Linked DNA regions of Caenorhabditis elegans. The protein of the gene in region 1 interacts with the protein of each later gene in a biochemical or structural test. Each region holds a gene or a part of one and is shown in the gene's direction. Other genes may lie near its edges. The genes, in order: unc-27 and mup-2.

Region 1 (3,593 bases):
CACCTACTTCCAATACATACAACTGAACAGGGATTATGTGATCAAGTTCCAATATTACTTTATTTATACCCAATTTAGCTCATTATTAGTTATACCTCACTGAGGACACTACTTCTAATGAAAATTATTCCTTGATAGCAATCAAGAAATAATTTTCTAAAAGTAAAAAATTGTAAGCTGTAAAAGTTCGGTAGTGCCAATTAATTTACCCATATGACAACCGCTCATGTATAATAATATTTCGTAACACTTGTGCCCCCACTACTGCTCAACGTTTTTAACCAAAACATCATCATCGCCTCCATCAGCTATTTTTCTGTATCTTCTTCCGATGTTTCTCTTTCTCTATATACTCGTTGCAATGAACAATGTATCAAAAGAAAGATAGAGCTTGCCGCATCAGAAGAAAACAGTGTAAACTATTCGGAGATTGGCAGAAAAGCGTGATAACACAGTTGAAAACAATTCAAGATAAGAATGTGAATGTTTATGGAAAAAAGTGTTAAAAATAAACAGGACAATAGATCGGTTTAATCCATCACTACTCCATAAACTAAAATGGGTGTGAAAATAGTTACAGGGAATTGGAATTTATTTACAAGTTTCGGGTTGTTATTTACCATTGTTGGAAAATGTAGATTTTTCTCGTTGTGATCTGATTTTTGAATGTGTGATTTTTTTAATGATTTAGATTCACTTATTTTATAGTCTTGTCAAAAATAACTACTTTATGATAACAACTGATAAATTCAATTTGAAAGTAATAATATTCAACTTTTTGTGATAACTAATGATGATTTGCATACCCAATTTCATTATCCCCGCTATCTTTTTTCTTTATCACTTATCACAAATCTCAAACATCTGCCCACACCTCGCAACACTTTCAACTCATGGTCCCTAACATATTGAATTTCAAGAGAGTCTCACCGGCCACCGTGACTATTTTTATTGTATTTTTCCACACGTCACACTTGTCAGCTTGTCAATTTTTTTTTAGGTTTTTTTGTTTTCTGACCTACTCAAATCCTACGTGACAGCATGAAATTATGGAACTGAAAGAGAAATGGTTGAAAACAAAACACTGTGAAAAAATAAATAAAATTATTCTTGATTCTGATGAAAAATGTCATGTTCCAATTCACTTTTGAAACAATTTATCCAACAAATATTTACAGATCTCACTAGCGAGCCATGTCACAACTACAAAAAAGCAATCGAATTGATGAACTCAGTGACACCGTTGAAAAATCAGTATGTTATTTTAAAAATTGTTTAGGTATTTTTAGTAGTACGATTTTGATTTTTGATCACATATCTTCTTTTTGAAAATACAGAAAAACTACAGACTAGCTTCATAAATTGTTCGGAGCCCCATTCACCGAATAGCTCATAACTTGACCCACTGCCCCATCTGAAACCAATATCTTCTTGCCGCGTTCCGTTGGTTTTTTCCACTGAAGTTGCCACAGCTCTATCCCTATCTCTCGCTTGTCTTCAATCAATCTCGGCCAACGCAATTGGTAGGCAAGAATCATTACAACAAGCGGGAGACGTGTTGGAAAGAGCATCTGTCTGTATGGCATTGTCCGAGAGACCCAAAGATACAGAATTGGAGGGCGGGCGGTTTGTGGGGCGGCTGTTGCCAACTCTAGGTACCTCTCACGAGTTGCGACATCTATTGGCAGGATACTTCAGATTTCAATTCACAAGGCCTTCGGATGCATGATCAGGCTCGCCGCTAATTTGTTTTATGCTCATTCAAAAATTATTCATTTTGTGAATTTAATCTTCTGTTTTGTGATACTTGTACCCCAAACTAAAATTTCAGATGAGTGAAGAAGCCGGAGAGGACGCCCAGCGCAAAGCTGCCGAGCGCGAGGCCAAGAAGGCCGAGGTGCGCAAGCGTCTCGAAGAGGCCGGAAACAAGAAGAAGGCCAAGAAGGGATTCTTGACACCAGAGCGTAAGAAGAAGCTTCGTGTAAGTTGTGTTTTTGGAACACTTAAATGTTTAACTTATTTTTGATTTCAGAAGCTTTTGATGGTCAAGGCCGCCGAGGATCTTAAGAGACAACAATTGCTTAAGGAGCAAGAAAGACAAAAGGCTCTTGCTGACAGAACCATCTCACTTCCAAATGTTGACTCCATTGATGATAAGGGACAACTCGAGAAGATCTACAATGACCTCTGGGCTCGTCTTACCCAGCTCGAGGAGGAGAAGTACGACATCAACTACGTCGTCTCCCAGACTGAGGCTGAGATCAACTCCCTCACTATTGAGGTCAACGATCTTCGTGGAAAGTTGTGAGTTTTTATCAGTTTTTGATGAATTTCCCATATATGTAAAATCATCCAAAGTATTGATTTTACTTTTTATTTTTCAGCGTCAAGCCTTCACTCAAGAAGGTGTCGAAGTACGACAACAAGTTCAAGAAGAGCGGTGAGAGCAAGGCCGGAACCAAGGAAGACTTCCGTGCCAACCTCAAGATTGTCAAGAAGGACGTTATGGAGGCCATCGTCAATGTTGTAAGTTTTATCTGCAATGTTCGAGAATTTTGATAAACAAATATTTCAATTTCAGAAGAAGAAGGACGACAAGCCAGATTGGTCCAAGAAGAACAAGGATGCCAAGGCCGAAGACTCCGCTCCAGCTGCCGTTGCTCCAGAAGCTGAGCCAGTTGCAGAGGAAGCCGAGGCTGAGCCAGAAGCCGGTTTGTCAAAAATGATTTAGATTTTCTCGATAACTGAAAACTTGCAGAGGAAGAGGAAGGAGAGGAGGAGGAGGAGGAGTAAACTCCTAAATCCATCACTTCAATCCTGCTCAACATCATCCAAATCGACGTCATCAAACCGAACAACCCCCCTCCCCAAAAAAAAATATGCCAACATCAATATTCTGTAGTTTGTAAAATACTTTTTTACCATTTTATTCTTCCTTCGATGGGTCCCGGAAATTTAAATGTCAACAACGTGTGTGCTAATAAAATCTTGGTGGTCAGACTTGTGTGTTTGAATCCTTGAAGAAATATGAGAAGGAAGTGTGAAGTGTAGTAGGGAGTGTCTGGTTAAAAGTGATAAGTGAAGGAGAACGTGGGAGGAAAACATGAGAGGATCACTCTCCTGGGCTCTAAGAATAGTGCGAATAATTTTGGGACGCTTTGACAAACTCATTTGTCAGATAACGTTTCAAAAAGTATTTCAAATATTTTTGACACAATTTTGAAACACTCACAACATTCAACACCACAGACGCCAAAAAAACTGTTCTTGCAATTTCAAAATTTCGATCAAGTTTCCATCTGTTGAAAATTGATACATGAAAATATCTCTTTTAATTGTGCAGAACTTAATCAGCAATATTCATATTCACAGTTTAGCTGTTATGATACAATGCTGCAGTAAATTTGAAGATTATCGTGATCTATGGAGAAAATCAAGGGAAGTTGATAGCTTGGAAAAGCAAACAGGAGAGCACATTTCAATGAAAAGTCAATAGTTTTCCAAAAGTACTGTACTAGTATATTACTGAGTCTAATAAACAAAAAAAAACTGGTATCAGACAAGTTTTTCCTATCAGTTTTCAAAGATTAATT
Region 2 (4,100 bases), 2.4 Mb from region 1:
TTTGCTAGTTAGAAACCAAAAATACAATGTTTCAAAAAATATGTTATAAAATACAAGAAAAATACAAGGTGTCAAAAACATACATTTTCTGAATAAGGGTAATTTTTTGACATTTTCGAAAATGTAATCTATATCTTTGATCTCATATGTTAATATCAAATTAATTAGACTAAAGTTTTGAAATTGATGATTAATTACTACATTTATTTTGTATTTCACAAAGATGTTCGTATTTCTTAGAATAACACTATTTTTTTGCAATAATTTAATTAGTGTGGACTGTTGTCACCACATTGAACACACTTTTCGTAATTTTTTTGCCTTGTTTATTATTATGTTCTTTGAAATTAATGTTTTATTTATTATTTAGAATCAATTTTTCAAATTCCCTTAATTGGATCCCCGCAACTGAACCAGACGGCCAATTGACACTGGCTTACAAGAATTTGAATGAAAACGTCTCGAAGATCATCAGCTGCATTCAAATGAAAAGAAAGAATATTTGTATTATTGTTTTGCGTTTTTACAATTGTGCCACCCAAATATTATTCGTATGCTCGCCCCGCTTGTCTTATTGCAGGGGCCACTGTGAGTGGATTTTTGGTGGAAACGAGCTTGTTGGAAAAAGATGATAGCCGATTGGCAAGGTGCCTCGGTAAATTGGAAACTATTACACAAATATCATTGATTTCTAAACATTGAATTTTGAAATTTAATATTTGTAGAAATATTAAAATGATTTGTTTACTTTAAATGGATCAATTTTAAAGAGCACTACGTTTTCATTTGCGCGTTAAAATATTTAAATAAAAGTGATGATTCATTGAAAATTCGTAATTATAAAATAAGTTTACCGTATTTTACCTAAATTTTAACAAAACTTTTTGAACCACATAAATATTTAACGCGTTTTTATTATTTTAAAGCTGACCAATTAGAATTAGTGTGCAGTGGAAGATACAAGAATAATAGGAAAATCACAGTAATTTCTAAAACATATTAACTACTTGTTAGAAATTTTTATCAATTGACCAGTATAAACTATGTTGTTTTTTTCAACTTGTCCAAACTCTTCATCATCATCTGTCTCTTGTTGGTCCCTTGTCTGTGTCAGCGTAGGAGGAAGAGATAGTGAAGTGCACATCTTGGTGATCGAGAGAGAAGCAGAGAAACCCGTTTCTCGAATCAATGTTGGTGATTCAAAAATATATTGAGCCTTCGGATCGAAACATGATGCCCTATTTCTACGATAGCACATCACAGAAGTCTGCGTATTCTGAGGAAACGCAGACTGCCCGCGGGAAGCCCCAGGCAGAGAGAAAGACGAGAGCCACACGAGGAGGGCACGGCTGCTCACTCTGCGTAGGTGTAAGGTTTACAGCACAGATTGTGTCCGTATGTTATACTTTTCTTTTCCCTGAGAGCTCCCGCTCCCGCCAGCCCCTCCCACTTATCTGCCAACGACGGCCTCCCGGAGCAAGCACTTTCATATCTCTTCATTGTCGATTTCAACATCCCACCGGCACATACTCAAATTTCCTTCTTCTTCTGTGTCATCACTTCTTATCAATATGTTTTGAGATTTTGAATTTTGAGAATTTAACTTTCATATAATTACAGAACCTAAACCTAACTAATCATGTCCGACGAGGAGGAGGTATAGTAAGTTATATACCTATCATTTTTCTAGACATTCTAATTTTTAATTTTTTAGCTCTGATGAGGAGGTCGAGGAGGAGGAGGTCGAGGAGACCGAAGAGGCCCCAGCTGAGGCTGAAGAGCCGTAAGTTTAAGCTTTGAATTCGTGATTTTTTGTATAACACTGAAATTGTAGAGAGGAGACCACCGAGGAAGTAGTCGCTCCACCAGAGGTCAAGGAGCGTCGTGCTCCAGTCCAAGAGGAGAAGCCACCAGCGGAGATGACTGAGGCTGAGATTGCCATGTTGGTGAGTATAACTTCTTGGGAGACCTTCCGTTTCATTCATAAAATTGTTAACCAAATTCATATCTAGGCCGCCAAGAAGCGTCACGAGGAAGAGGAAGCCGCTAAACTTCTCGATTACGAGCAGCGCCGTGTTCTTGAGAAGGAGCAAATCGAACAAGAGCTTCGTGAACTCAAGGAGAAGCAAGAGAAGCGCCGAGCTGAGCGTGAAGAGGACGAGCGTCAGTTCGCTGAACGTAGACGTCAAGATGACGAGCGCCGTCGCAAGGAAGAAGACGAACGCAAGGCTAAGGCTGATGCCGAGAAGATCCGCAAGAACGAGGAGAAGGTCCGTCGTCAACAAATGATGGCTGGAGCTTTCAACGGAAGAGTTGAAGCCGGAGCTGGACGCAACTTCACTGTCGCCTCCAAGGGAGACCAAGCTGCTCAATTCGGAAACTTGGCTCAGGTATTTTTATTGTATCATTTTTAAATCGAATACTAATTAAGAAACTTTCAGGCTAAGGGAGGAAAGGATGTCATGAGCAAGGAACAGATGGAGGATGCCAAGAGAAACTTCTTGGCCGCCGTCTGCCGTGTACAAGACGTCTCTGGACTTCTTCCAAACGATTTGAAGGAGAGAATCAGAGGCCTTCATGCTCGTATCGTCAAGCTCGAGGCTGAGAAGTACGACTTGGAGAAGAGACGTGAACGTCAAGACTATGACGTAAGTTTAAACTATTCAATGAGACTTATTTGATATTGTGTGTGACATTCAACCAAATTTCAATTACTTCAGATGAAAGAGTTACACGAGCGTCAACGTCAAGCCGCCCGTAACAAGGCTCTCAAGAAGGGACTTGACCCAGAGGAGGCTGCTTCCTCTGTCCATCCACCAAAGATCACCACCGCTTCTAAGTTCGACCGTCAAACCGACAGAAGATCTTACGGAGACCGTCGGTACTTGTTCGAGAACCCAGAAGAGGAGAAGCAGGCTTCCCTCGTCCGCGGAACCGGACGACCACCAGCAGAGTGGGGACGCAAGCAAAACGAAGAACTCGAGCAGATCCGCAAAAACTTGGAGCCACCAAAGTACGTTGAGCAGGTCAAGGTTGAGGGAGCCAGAGCACCAGTCGAGCCAGTCCCACTCTTCGTTCCAACTGATGACTTCGAGCCACAACAAGTCACCGAGGATCCAAATGTTGGAGAAGAGGTCGTTGTCGAATAAATTTCCTGTTTTTTACCTTTTTTCATTTCACAATTTTTTGATTATCAAATTTATTAAAATAAACCCAATCCCAACCAAAAAAAATCCATTTTCTAATATTCCAATCAAAACTTTTTGCATTTGTTTCCAATTTATTAACCAATTCTCCAATTCTTCAAGTACTCTGTTTCTGCATACTCTCCGGTTTGTGCTTATCAGTAAAGTCTTTATCATAAAAATTGCATTCCCATTCGAATTGTAAGCATTTCATGAAACAGATTAAAACAAGAATTCGTGGAAAGACAAATTTTGATTATAATATTTATTATTAAAGTTTGAATAAGTCGAGTCAACGGAAAAAATATATATGAATAATATAAATTGAAAAAGGAAAGGACTAAGACGGAATTGGAAAAATATGAGAAATTGGGATCTAGCTAATGAGAAAAATAATCGTTTGAAAGCGGTGAGAAAAAATTTGCTTACAACAGCAAAGTTGATGAATTTCTGGGGCAAAGTTTTTTGTGGTAGGAGAGAAAATCGGCATGACACGCCACAGTTTGATGTGTGTAACAAACTAATCAGAGAGGCATTTGAAAACATTCTATGATAAAAATTATACACATTATCAAATTCAAAATCAAGTTATCAAATTCAAAAATAAAAGTTATTGGTTAGATTTGAATAAGCAAAACAGATACGAGACACACATCTGGGGCCAATTTTGAAAACGACCTGGGGAATTTTTAGAGTTTGGGGAGTAGTTATGGTTGGGAAGAACATCTGGAAAGTCTGACAAATAGGCCTCATAGTATTTGCTTATGTTTTTTTTTCGCAAAGTGAGAAATGAAAGCAACGGGGCGAGAACAGTGAGGAACTGGGTTTCAGTAGAGAATTACAACCGAGAAGCAACAAAGTTTACACCAGGAAATCGAGAAATGTACAATAAAATGACAACAGAAAAATAGAATT

The links.
Region 2: the proteins of unc-27 (region 1) and mup-2 interact in far-western blotting, tested with the Caenorhabditis elegans proteins (one study listed by BioGRID).

What each region holds. Positions count from the first base shown.
Region 1 is NC_003284.9:8,787,625-8,791,217, forward strand, and holds unc-27 (Troponin I 2), read left to right. Parts: upstream 1-1,831; coding exon 1,832-1,981; intron 1,982-2,032; coding exon 2,033-2,304; intron 2,305-2,384; coding exon 2,385-2,526; intron 2,527-2,581; coding exon 2,582-2,711; intron 2,712-2,758; coding exon 2,759-2,793; 3' UTR 2,794-2,997; downstream 2,998-3,593.
Region 2 is NC_003284.9:6,407,748-6,411,847, reverse strand, and holds mup-2 (Troponin T), read left to right. Parts: upstream 1-1,620; 5' UTR 1,621-1,639; coding exon 1,640-1,662; intron 1,663-1,714; coding exon 1,715-1,783; intron 1,784-1,834; coding exon 1,835-1,946; intron 1,947-2,012; coding exon 2,013-2,390; intron 2,391-2,441; coding exon 2,442-2,648; intron 2,649-2,720; coding exon 2,721-3,149; 3' UTR 3,150-3,377; downstream 3,378-4,100. UniProt on the Caenorhabditis elegans protein: Troponin T is the tropomyosin-binding subunit of troponin, the thin filament regulatory complex which confers calcium-sensitivity to muscle actomyosin ATPase activity.